Rattus norvegicus: one gene and its partners. The protein of the gene in region 1 binds, or shares a complex with, the protein of each later gene. Links are inferred from orthologs where the notes say so. Each region holds a gene or a part of one and is shown in the gene's direction. Other genes may lie near its edges.

Region 1 (3,747 bases):
ACCTTTTGCTCCTCCCGGGTCGTCTGTGCTGGGGAAGGGTTAGCTCATAACCAACCATTAACAGGAGGAATGTACTAAGCTGTTAGCAACATCCACAAGGATTGCTTTTTAAAATGTGGAATGTTTTGACCTAATCCATTCCTCTTGCTCCTTGTCACTGTGAAATAAAATCTACTTACACTGCCTTTCATTATTTTTGATTGTCTATAAATTACCCATTTCGGTCGAGGGTGGATGGTACATGTCTATAATCCCAACACTTGGGAAGTAGGAACAACAGGGTCAAGAGTTCAAGGTTGCACCAGGGTGGGGGGACACTGGGGGATTGCTGCCCTCTCAGAGGCGAATAGGGGGAGGAATTCTTTCAGGAGCGGGACTGGGAGGGGACAGCATTGGGGATGTAAACAAACAAACAAACAAACAAAAGAGTTCAAAGTAATCTTTAGCTATGTAGTACATGTAAGGCCAGCTAATGCTACATGAGTCCCCGTGTTTTTTTGTTTTTGTTTTTGTTTTTGTTTTTTTTTTAAATGGTGCCTGGAGAGATGCTCTACAATTAAGAGAACTTAGTTTTAATTCCAAGCACTCACATGGTGGCTCAAAAACTACATTTTCAGGAGATCTAATGCCCTCCCCCGGATTCAGAGTGGTATACATACTTGCAAGTAAGACGTTTATATATATAACCTTCCACTCTGCCCCTTCAAATAGAAGGGCTGGAGGTATGATTCAGTGATTAAGAGCACTTTCTGCTCTCTTAGAAGACTCGTGTTTGATTCTCAGCACCTGTGTCAGGCAGGTCACAACCACAAGTAACTCCAGCTTCAGAGAGACAGGTGTCAGAAGAGGCCTGAGGTGGTAGATCTTCCTGGAACTGTTTGTCCTAACCCAAGTGGTTGTTTGTGAAGAATCTGAGTGCTGGGAGTCGAACTCGAGTTTGCTGAGCTGTCTCTCCGGCCCCTTATTATATATCTTGTTTTCCTAAACCTGGTTTGAACTCCTTTTATCCCTGGCTGTAGAAACTAGTTAGTCAACACAGACTTGTATTAGCACCGGCTCACATACCATTAGGTGGCGACAGAGAGCTCGGGCAAGGCTGTGCACGAAAGCCTCTTCCCAGAAGCATCAGGAAAGAGGCTGCGCAATTTGAACCTGCCCAGCCACCGTCGAGCCCTGGCCGGAAGAATGCGATTCCTTCCGGGTTTCGCGGTCCTGGGAGACGGTGTAGAACTACCCAATCTTGCACTGTGGACGAGGTGTCTATACCGCAGCCAGTGCGAGGCCGTGGCACCTCAGGCCTCTTCTGGCCCCGCCGCAGTCCTGGCCGTTCCGCGGTTGCTTGCCCAGAGCGAGACGCGTCGCCATGGCGACGCCGGCGGGACTGGAGCGGTGGGTGCAGGAGGAGCTGCACTCGGTGCTGGGGCTGAGCGAGCGGCACGTCGCGCAGTTCCTGATCGGCACGGCGCAGCGCTGCGCCTCCGCCGAGGAGTTTGTGCAGCGCTTGCGTGACACAGAGACCCTGGACCTCGGCGGGCCGGCGCGGGACTTCGCGCTGAAGCTCTGGAGCAAGGTGTGTGCCGCCGGGGCAGTCCACTCACAGCCAAATTGGCCCGTACGCTTATCCTTTTGTTTTGAGACGCAGTGTGCCTGCAACTTTCGATATAGCACACAGGCTGGCTTCGAACTTGCAGCGAGCCTCCCTAGTACTGGGATGACAGAGAGACCCACCGTCCTTGGTTTTGTTATTTAGGTATCATGCTAGGTGCTGGGCGTACAGGTCTGTGGAGAAGACTCAAGAGAGAGGGATTTACATACATTTTTTAAGCTAGAGCGCTTGTTAGTTACAGTACATAACTCCAGACCTAAGGATGTAGCACAGTTGGTAGAATGCTTGTCTAGCACACTGTAAGCCTTGGGTTCAATCCCCAGCCCCGGGAAAGAGTCACTGGGAAGAACAGAACTATGAGAATTAGCATTTAAGAAATAGGATGGAGACTGCTCAGCAGTTAAGAACCCTTAAGACGGGGCTGGGGATTTAGCTCAGTGGTAGAGCGCTTACCTAGGAATCGCAAGGCCCTGGGTTCGGTCCCCAGCTCCGAAAAAAAGAACCAAAAAAAAAAAAAAAAAAACCCTTAAGACACACAGAAAGACAGACAGACAAAAACAAAACGCTTGTTGCGCATCTGGAAGACTTGAGTTCAGTTCTTAGCAACCAGGCCTAGTGACACACAACCAGTAATCTCAGCTCCAGGTCCAAGTACCTGTACACATAAATAAATGAAAAATAAATCTTAAAAGGAAAATGGGGGGTTGGGGACTTAGCTCAGCGGTAGAGCGCTTGCCTAGCAAGGGCAAGGCCCTGGGTTCGGTCCCCAGCTCCGAAAAAAAGAAAAAAGAAAAAAAAAAAGGAAAATGGATTATAGAGTATAAACTACTTAAGCTCAGAACCAATTCTTTAAAAAAAAAAAAATTCTATCGTGGGACTGGAAAGATGGCTCAGGGATTAAGATCACTAGCTGTGAACCCAGGTTCAATTTCCAGTGCTCACATGGCAGCTTGCAACCGTAACTCCGGTTCCATGAGATCTAACACCCTCACACAGCACATATTGCAGGCAGAACGCCAACGCACACAGAAACAAAAGTAAATCATTAAAATTAGGAAAAGGTTCTGTTTCGTGTATACGCCGCCAGCGTGTGGCTGTGAGAGCATAACCTGTGAGTGTTTCTCCTCTTCCCTCCACCACAGGGTAGTGTTCAGTAATCATTTGCTAAATAGGCTCCTGGAAGGAGGTTCAGAAGCTGCGACCATGGGACCAAACCATGTAGAAGAGAAAGGTGGAGACAGGCTTAAGATAAAGTAATCCCTTTGTAGGCAAATGAGGGTACCGGGGAGGTCAGGAGCTGTCATATCTACTGGCAGGTGCCACGGAAGGCCGTGGTTGAAAAGCCAGCTCGTGCAGCTGAGCGAGAGGCCCGAGCCCTGCTGGAGAAGAACCGATCTTATAAATTGTTGGAGGACAGCGAGAGCGGAGAGGAAGCAGTGGCCAGGGACGGGAGCAGCCTCCAGAAGAAGCGGAAGAGACGGAAACACCTGAGGAAGAAACAGCAGGAGGAGGAGGAGGAGGAGGAGGAAGCCTCTGAGTCAGGGAAGAGGAAGACAGGGTAAGTGAGAAGGAAGGAGAGAGGGGGGATTGGAGCATGCTTTTGGCTGTGGGATGCTAAGCCCTCTCGATACCCCACTTTGATGACGCACTGGGCTGGGTTCAGGGGCAGTAAATCACCCACGGAGGAGAAGCCAGCCTCAGAGGATGAGTGGGAGAGAACAGAACGTGAGCGTCTCCAGGACTTGGAGGAACGGGATGCCTTTGCAGAGCGGGTTCGGCAACGAGACAAGGACCGGACCCGGAATGTTCTGGAGCGGTCAGATAAGAAGGTGAGTTGGGTAAACCTGGATTTGGCTGCAGAGTTTTCTCTGGGAAGACAAGAGTTGTCACCAGGGCTCCTGTGGGCTCTCTGGCTAAAGCCCTCCCTGCACGGTTGAGATCCACAGAGGTTCTTCACAGAGGAGGGGCACTGAAGGGCACTTGTCATCCTGACAGGAACGGTATCCTTGGCCTCACATCCCTCTACATGATTTCTTCTAGGCTTATGAAGAGGCTCAGAAGCGCCTCAAGATGGCTGAGGAAGACCGGAAAGCCATGGTGAGAACCCCAGGTTAAGAAAGCAGTATCTGGGGGTTGGGGAT
Region 2 (3,747 bases), on another chromosome or scaffold:
GGAATGAGGAGAGAGGGGGAGCAGGAGCAAGAGAACAGAGCAAGAGAGAGAGGAGGGGGCAAGCAGCCGCTTTTATAGTCAGTTTGGCACACCTAGCTGTTGCCAAGTAACTGTGGGACAGAGTTTAGAGTAAATGCTAACAGCTGTTGTCCTCGTAAACAAAGCAACTCGTCAAACCATCACTGATGGGGAAAAAGTACAATAGGCCCCTTCCTCCCCTGCTGAGCCATCTCTCTAGCCCTGCCTCTGAAATTCTTGTCCCAAACTTATAACCTCAGACTAATAGCGAAAAGTTAACACAACAAGCTTTATTGGCGTTATGTTCTTCAAAATAACTGAGCTATATTTTTAAAAATCAGTAAAGACGGGGTTGGGGATTTAGCTCAGTGGTAGAGCGCTTGCCTAGCAAGCGCAAGGCCCTGGGTTCGGTCCCCAGCTCCGAAAAAAAAAAAAAAAGAAAAAAAAGAAAAATCAGTAAAGACAAAGACTAAAAAACTAGCACTAAAGACTACAGAAGACAAAGGAGGCATACAATTATATTGCAGTGTATGAGATATCAAAACTGGATCCTAGAAGGAAAAAATGCTTAATTAACAGAATCGCACCCAGGGATAGGGGTGTGGCTCAGTGATTAAAAAGAAGCAACATTATACAAATGTTCATCTCCTGTTTTGGATAATTTATAACACTGTTATGGAAAATCTGTAATGTTATCTTGGTCAAAAAATATGGGGGCTAAGTATGAACAGTTGTGCTGCTCTGGCTGGGGGAAAAAAGCAACTGAGTCAAGCAAAGAGGCTTCAACCCAGAAGGTCCTGGCTCTTCATGCCAAAAACCAGAAGACACTGCCTCATCCAAAAGCTCAAAAGGGTTAGAAAAGTGCAACATAGAGATTATGTGTAACAAAGGCACTTTACAAGAAAGCATAAGAAACTGGGGAATGGGAGAGAAAAAAAGAAATTAAAGGAATACAGATTAATGGTACAGTGCTTCCCTAGACGAGGCCCTAAGTTAAATTATTAGCACTGCAAACTGAACCACATCCCAGGTACAATCCTGGTTTTTCACCTTATTGACACTTTCTACATCAGTAAGATTCACATTGTGGAAAAGCACATTAAATTATGTGCTTGTCAAATACAAGATTTATTTATTTTGTTTTGTATATATAAATATTTTGCCTGTATGTACATCGTGTGCGTACATGTCGGAAGAGGGTAGAACTGAATTCCTAACGGTTTAATACCCAGGAATAACCTAATCAATCTTCCACCGCGACTACACCACTAAGAACTACATTTCCCGGAATGCTTAGTACGGCACCTTACTATGACGTTTAAAGAGTTCCCAAGCTCTAATTCCTGTTTCCCACGGCTTCAAGGCACCTGTTCTTGAGGCGTTGCATTCTGGGATAGATTCTGGCGTTCCTGGGCGGCCCTTAAGGTACTAGAGTTAAACTTCCCAGCAGGCAGAGCGCTCGCCTGGGACTCGAGCCAAGATGGCGGGCCGTGAGAGTCCGCCACCGGCTGCCGCGTCCACAGCTCCGATTTCTTTCGGTTTCACTCGCACATCTGTCCGGAGGCGACTGGCAGACCTCGGAGACAGCGAAGGACAGGCCCCAGAGAAGAAAGATTTCTTGGCGACTGTGGAAGGGAGGGAGCTGCAGAGGTGAAACGCCGGGTCTTTTCACGTCTTAGAAATCGGTGAAATGGGCTTAAGCGGGAGGGCAGAGTAAGGTGAAACGCCGGGTCTTTTCACGTTTTAGAAATCGGTGAAATGGGCTTAAGCGGGAGGGCAGAGTAAGAGAAATTTATGCTGGTGACAGTGGCCTGGAAAGCCTGAAACAGCTTCGGGAAATTTATGGAGGTAACCAGGAGTGGCGGCAAATGCCTGTAAGTCAAGACCTGGGAGGCTGGCGCAGGAGGATCAAGAATTGAACGCCAACCTGGGCAATTTGAGAGCCTATATTAAAAAAAAAAAAAAACAAAGAAATTACTAAAATAAGGGCAAGAAGAGGGAGGTTTGTTATGTGGATGAAATGGGGCTTGAGAATCAGAGATATAAATTCCTCAGAGAAAAAGTCGTGTGCCTTTTAAGAAAGGGAAAGGAGGGAGAATGACAGGATTCTTCCTGTCTCAACTGAAATGGTGGGTGCTTCTCCGATTTGAAGAATGAGGCAAAGTCAAGTTTTGGGAGGCCATCATCAGTATAATTAAGAAAGGAAGATCCTAGAGGCCTAAGTGGGGGACTTCTAAACGGCAGTTTATGGGCCTGGAACTAAGAAGCTAGACTAAAGGTGGTGAGTTGTAGGTCATTATGCTTTAAGGCCTAAGAATGATTTGCACAAGACACATTTAAAGCTGGGACCCCGGAGAGAAATGATACATTTGTATTGGTTGTATTTCCAGCACTAGGAAGTTGTACCAGGTTGACTGAGAGTTTATAAGACCAGCATGGGATGCATCGTGAGATGTCTCAAAAAAGATGAGTGGACCTTTAATAGTAACCTGTGGAACATGGTCCATAGGGCTAGGCATTGATATTTATTTTGTTTGTTTGTTTCTTTCTGGCCATTGTTTATTTTCTTTGTTTCTTGATATTTTTACTTTATTTAGAGGGGGTGTCAAGACAGGGTCTCTCCATGTAGACCAGGCTGGCCTTGAACTCAGGGATCCTCCTGCTTCTGCCTCCTGAGTGCTGCTGGGATTAAAGGCATGCATTACCACTACCCGGCTGATATTTCTACTTTCTAATATGTCTACAACCCTTTTTCTCTATCCACATCAGTGTGAACCCTCCAGAAGCTCCAAAGGAGCTGGTTATCCCATTGATCCAGAATGGCTCTCGCAGGCAACTGCTGTCCAAGAACCCTAAGCCCTCAGAAACAAGCACCGTGTTGACGTCAGATGGTGTGTTGTCCCAGGCTGTGAAGGAACTCATTGAGGGTGAGTGAAAACCTTCCTCTTTGCTCTGCCCTAGTGCAGATAGAAGGGGAAGAAGTTGGAAGGATAGGGTATGGCCTCATTGATCCCTCCCATTCTTCCTTAGAATCCAAGAAGTCTCTGGAGGAGAGGGAGAATGCAGGTGTTGACCCCACGCTCACTATCCCCATGATCCAGAAAGGATGTACTCCCATTGGGGAAGGAACATACAGCGAACCTCAGGCTGAGACAGTGAGCTGTCCCTTTGCCTCCCTCCTACACTATTCCTTCTACCCTGTCTGCCTAGTCTCCTTGCACATAGCAGGGAAAGTGTGTGTGCATGTCCCAAAGCCCTGCCAATTAGCCTTTCCTCCTTCCACCCTTATTAGAAGCATTAACAAAACAGAAAGCAGGGTGTTTAAAAATGTACGTGAATGCTGGGATTATCTGAATGAGGTAGACAACAAAGTGGACAGGAAATACAAATGCCATGAGGGTGTACACTGTTTGGAACCACATTTGTCTGTTTCCTCTTTCTTTTTTCTTTGTTCTGATTTTAGCCTGCAGTGTTTGAGGAGCACTAAGGAAACCTATTACTGGATTGGAATGAATGGGGAGGGAGTGGGCAGTAGATGAAGGCAGAGGGGGCCAGATTAGAAAGGGCATTCTGACCCACAGAGCAGACTTTTGTCTTTTACTATGAGTGGAGTGAGAGCTAAGGGGAAGTCTTGAGCAGACAGGGTTAGAACAGGGTCCCCTTTGTCTGCCCTGACCAAAAATGACTAGGAAGTGAAGGTAGGGCAGGAAGGGAGTAGACTAATCCAGA
Region 3 (3,747 bases), on another chromosome or scaffold:
AGGGGTCTAATCATAAAACAAGCCTGAAACCTTATTTTGTTGGGAAGGGGCATACGCTCAAGTGATGGATAAAGAAATAGCACAGGCGGCAAGGGCTAAACGATAAGGCCACGCTAACCCGAGACTCAATATGAAGGGAAAGAGGGAAATGACGCTGGCTGGGCCCCAGCCAAGGCTTACCCGCAGATCCCGGCTCCGTGATACCTCCTCAACCCCAGGGTGCCAGCTATTCCAGACGATATAAAAAGCCAAGCCCAGGGCCAGCGCCAGCAGCAGCAGGGGCAGGAGCTGCACCCGCGGCAGAAGACGGCGCTTGGAAAGTGAGGGTGGTTTCATGAGGCCGCGATCCCCGAGCCGCTGCCGAGACCGCCCGCGGCTGGCCGGACTCATGGCAGCTTTGCCCTGAAACCAATCCCCCCGCAGGGTGGTTTGAGTTTAGGCCAAGATTCGCCTCTCGGAGGTTACAAATGCCAATAAAGAAACACAGTAACTGCGTCCTCCCCCAATCGATTGCGATTGGCTCTCCTAAGCGCCGCACCACCCAAAAGGGAGCGCGGAAACCTTAAGGCCCGCCCCCACGGGAGAGAAACAGGCAATGAGCTGTGTCCGAATATACGAAACCTTCCCCGGCGCGGGGCCACGCCCCTTACGGAAGTCGATCAAGAAACTGTGGTTCAAGGAAAAAGGGGCGGCATCCATCCCTAAAACAAGGAACCGATTGGTTTGCCTGAAGCCATGCCCTCAAGAAAATTGTCGGCGGGTATTTTGGAAACCGGGTTGCGTTTTCCTTCTCCCAACTAGACAGTTAGGCGGGAAAACAATTTCAGTCAGACCCCGTTTTATTTTCCGCATGAGCAGACAACCTATTGTGATCCTCAGAGGCTTCAAATCCTCCCTATAGGCATTTTCTGCAGGAGAGCGTAGCCTTAGAGTCACTATGGTAACAGGGCACGCCCACAGTCGTGATTGCGCAGGCGTCGACGGAAGTCAGCCGCAGGAGACGGAAGTCCCGCCCTTCTCTTGCTGTGCTCCAAAGGCTAAAGCAACGCGCTTGGAGGCGGGAGTGATCTGCTAGCGAAACCTTCACCATGTGAGGCCGGGACGGGCTTCGGCGGGGACACGAAGATGGAGGGGGACGGTTTAGCTAAATAACAATCGAAATGGGGTGCTCATAGCTGAGGGTAGAGTTTCTCGGGCAAAAATAATGTCTTCTGAGGGATTTGAGAACGGGCATGGGGCCTCGGTTCTTGAGTTCCGGAGAGGGGACAGCTTTATTCCATAATGGGTGTAAGACTCTTCTAGGTACCGAGGCTTGCGGAAATGAACCGTAAAGGAAAAACTGAGTCTGATGGCACATGCCTAGAATCCCAAGCCTAGAGAGGCTGAGTCAGGAGTATCGCTAGTTGGTGGTCAGCCTTGACCAGCTTCATAGCGTGTCCGCTTACAAAAGTAATAGTAATTTTATATAGAAGTGGTCTTAATGGATGAAGAGCTTGGCGGAGAAGGAAGTACTATTAGAAATAGTAAATAGAGACGTATGGGACTTAACCAGGATAAATTAGGACTTTTGAACCTAATTAGAGATTGTCAGAGTAGCAGGCTACTACAATGGTTTATTCATTGAGCGGATATTATGTAGACTGTAAGTTAGACACATGGTAAATAGAAGGTCCTTGCTACCAAGGAAAAAAAATCTCTCAGGGCTTATAAAAAGAATCCAATAGGAAAGCCATAGAGTAATAAACAAGTACATACAGTATGTCTTAGATGATCAGGAGTGTGAATGGAGAATTGAGTAGGAAAGAAATAACACCAGTAGGTAGCACAGAAGTATTGGGCATTGAAAGCCCAATACTTGGGCTGGGGATTTAGCTTAGTGGACAGAGTACTTACCTACTGTGGGCCCTGGGTTTGGTCCTCAGCCACACACAGACTAGATGTAACCCCAGTATCCTGGAGGCAGAGACAGACAAGTCTGAGTTCCAGGGGCAGGTCTATTTATACAGGGAGACACTGTTGTGGGGTGGGATGGAAGAGAAATGGCCAAATTTTTGGACATATCATGGAAGCAGATGACAAGATAAGACGACAGAGTGAGGTTTGAAAGAATCAGGTGCCAGGCATGATGGTGAGCCCCCTGTAATCTCAGACCTTGGGTGATGGAGTCAGGAGAATTGAGAATTCAAGGTCAACAGTGGCTGGACGAGGTTTGGTTAATGAGCTGGAGCAGGCTAACTTGGAAATGTCTCTCCTGCCTCCAGAGAAGACTGTACCAGGAAGGGCATTTGGGGGCCAGGCTGGGGAGACACTGGACAATGTAGCTTTGGTCACTTATGCTTCCAACCTGAACCCGTCTCACCCCCCGGGTTCTCTATCCAGGAGTCTCCTCAATAAACCCAAGAGTGAGATGACCCCAGAGGAGCTGCAGAAGCGGGAGGAGGAGGAATTCAACACAGGTCCCCTCTCGGTGCTCACACAGTCGGTCAAAAACAACACGCAAGTGCTCATTAACTGTCGAAACAACAAGAAGCTCCTGGGCCGGGTGAAGGCCTTTGACAGGTGGGCATTGTCTTGGGGAAGGTCATTTGAGAAGAATTGTCGTAATAAGGTGGGCAAGGTGACAAAGTGCCTTTAGTCTCAGCACTCAAGGGGATCACTGTCAGTTGGAGCCAGCCAGGGTCACAGGGCAAGACCCAGCTAGCTCAAAAAATTAGAAAGTGGGGGTGCTTGGCTTTTTTTTTTTTATCTTATGTGTTTGGGCGTTTTGTCTGCGGGTGAGTCTGTCTGTGTACTGTGGACATGTCTAATACCTTCAGAAGTCATCAGATCCCCGGCAGGAGGAGGGACAGGAATTAAGATGTTTGGTTTGTTCCTCTGTAGGCCAGACATCAATGTCAAATATCTTCTACTGCTTTCTAGTTTGTTTTGAGGCAGGGTCTTTAACTATGTAGCCTGGGCTGGCTACAGATGTAGCAGAGGCTAACCTTATGCTTCTGATCCTCTTGCTACCATCTCCCAAGCGCTAGGATTACAGGGGCGAAGCATACCCTCCTGCCTTGTTTTAGTTAGCATGGAAGTTGCCTTGTGACGTGGTCCTACACATCTGGCATTGTACTTTGCTCATCGTCACTGTCCTCAAGCAAGCATTCGTGGAATGAACTGATCCAAGTGTGAGCACATGTCCACCTGCATGAGGACAGGGCCATGAGGCACTGGAGTGCACGTGTTGGGAACCATGTCTAACCCCAGAACTTAAGGTTTGGAGGGAGCTAATGCTTCTCTCAGAGTTAGAGTTAACTGCAGAGCCAGGGCCATTTTGGTGACCTTTACTGTGTACCGGGGTCCTAAGTGCTTCTTTCATCCAATCTTCACATCAGCCCCATGAAGTAGACTGTTTCCATTTCAAGAAGGGGGAAACTGAGGCACAGAAGGGACACTTAAGATGGGGCTGAGATCACACCTTGAAGCCTGCCCATCCCCACTGTGGAACCTGAACTCCGTCCCTATGCCTGCTGCTGGAGGGTTCACACATTCAGAATGTCCCCCTCACTCTGGCTTTTTCCTCCACCCTTTACCCCATCAGGCACTGCAACATGGTGCTGGAAAATGTGAAGGAGATGTGGACTGAGGTCCCCAAGAGCGGCAAGGGCAAGAAGAAGTCCAAGCCTGTCAACAAGGACCGCTACATCTCCAAGATGTTCCTGCGCGGGGACTCAGTCATTGTGGTGCTGCGGAACCCGCTCATCG

Evidence for each region. Proteins that work in one complex are often made in the same cells at the same time.
Region 2: Dhx16 (region 1) and Gpkow share a complex: the UniProt entries of both Homo sapiens proteins name them as parts of the minor spliceosome. The link is inferred for Rattus norvegicus from reciprocal best matches to the Homo sapiens genes DHX16 and GPKOW.
Region 3: Dhx16 (region 1) and Snrpd2 share a complex: the UniProt entries of both Homo sapiens proteins name them as parts of the minor spliceosome. The link is inferred for Rattus norvegicus from reciprocal best matches to the Homo sapiens genes DHX16 and SNRPD2.

What each region holds. Positions count from the first base shown.
Region 1 is NC_086038.1:2,877,233-2,880,979, reverse strand, and holds the start of Dhx16 (pre-mRNA-splicing factor ATP-dependent RNA helicase DHX16), read left to right. Parts: upstream 1-1,228; 5' UTR 1,229-1,363; coding exon 1,364-1,570; intron 1,571-2,922; coding exon 2,923-3,164; intron 3,165-3,269; coding exon 3,270-3,435; intron 3,436-3,646; coding exon 3,647-3,703; intron 3,704-3,747. UniProt on the Homo sapiens protein: Required for pre-mRNA splicing as a component of the spliceosome. Contributes to pre-mRNA splicing after spliceosome formation and prior to the first transesterification reaction.
Region 2 is NC_086039.1:17,475,955-17,479,701, reverse strand, and holds the start of Gpkow (G-patch domain and KOW motifs-containing protein), read left to right. Parts: upstream 1-1,403; 5' UTR 1,404-1,498; coding exon 1,499-1,668; intron 1,669-2,787; coding exon 2,788-2,945; intron 2,946-3,048; coding exon 3,049-3,173; intron 3,174-3,747. UniProt on the Homo sapiens protein: RNA-binding protein involved in pre-mRNA splicing. As a component of the minor spliceosome, involved in the splicing of U12-type introns in pre-mRNAs.
Region 3 is NC_086019.1:87,925,395-87,929,141, forward strand, and holds the start of Snrpd2 (small nuclear ribonucleoprotein Sm D2), read left to right. Parts: upstream 1-1,014; 5' UTR 1,015-1,088; coding exon 1,089-1,090; intron 1,091-2,379; coding exon 2,380-2,559; intron 2,560-3,583; coding exon 3,584-3,747. Other genes in the region: Qpctl (glutaminyl-peptide cyclotransferase-like protein), read right to left, coding at 181-390. UniProt on the Homo sapiens protein: Plays a role in pre-mRNA splicing as a core component of the spliceosomal U1, U2, U4 and U5 small nuclear ribonucleoproteins (snRNPs), the building blocks of the spliceosome.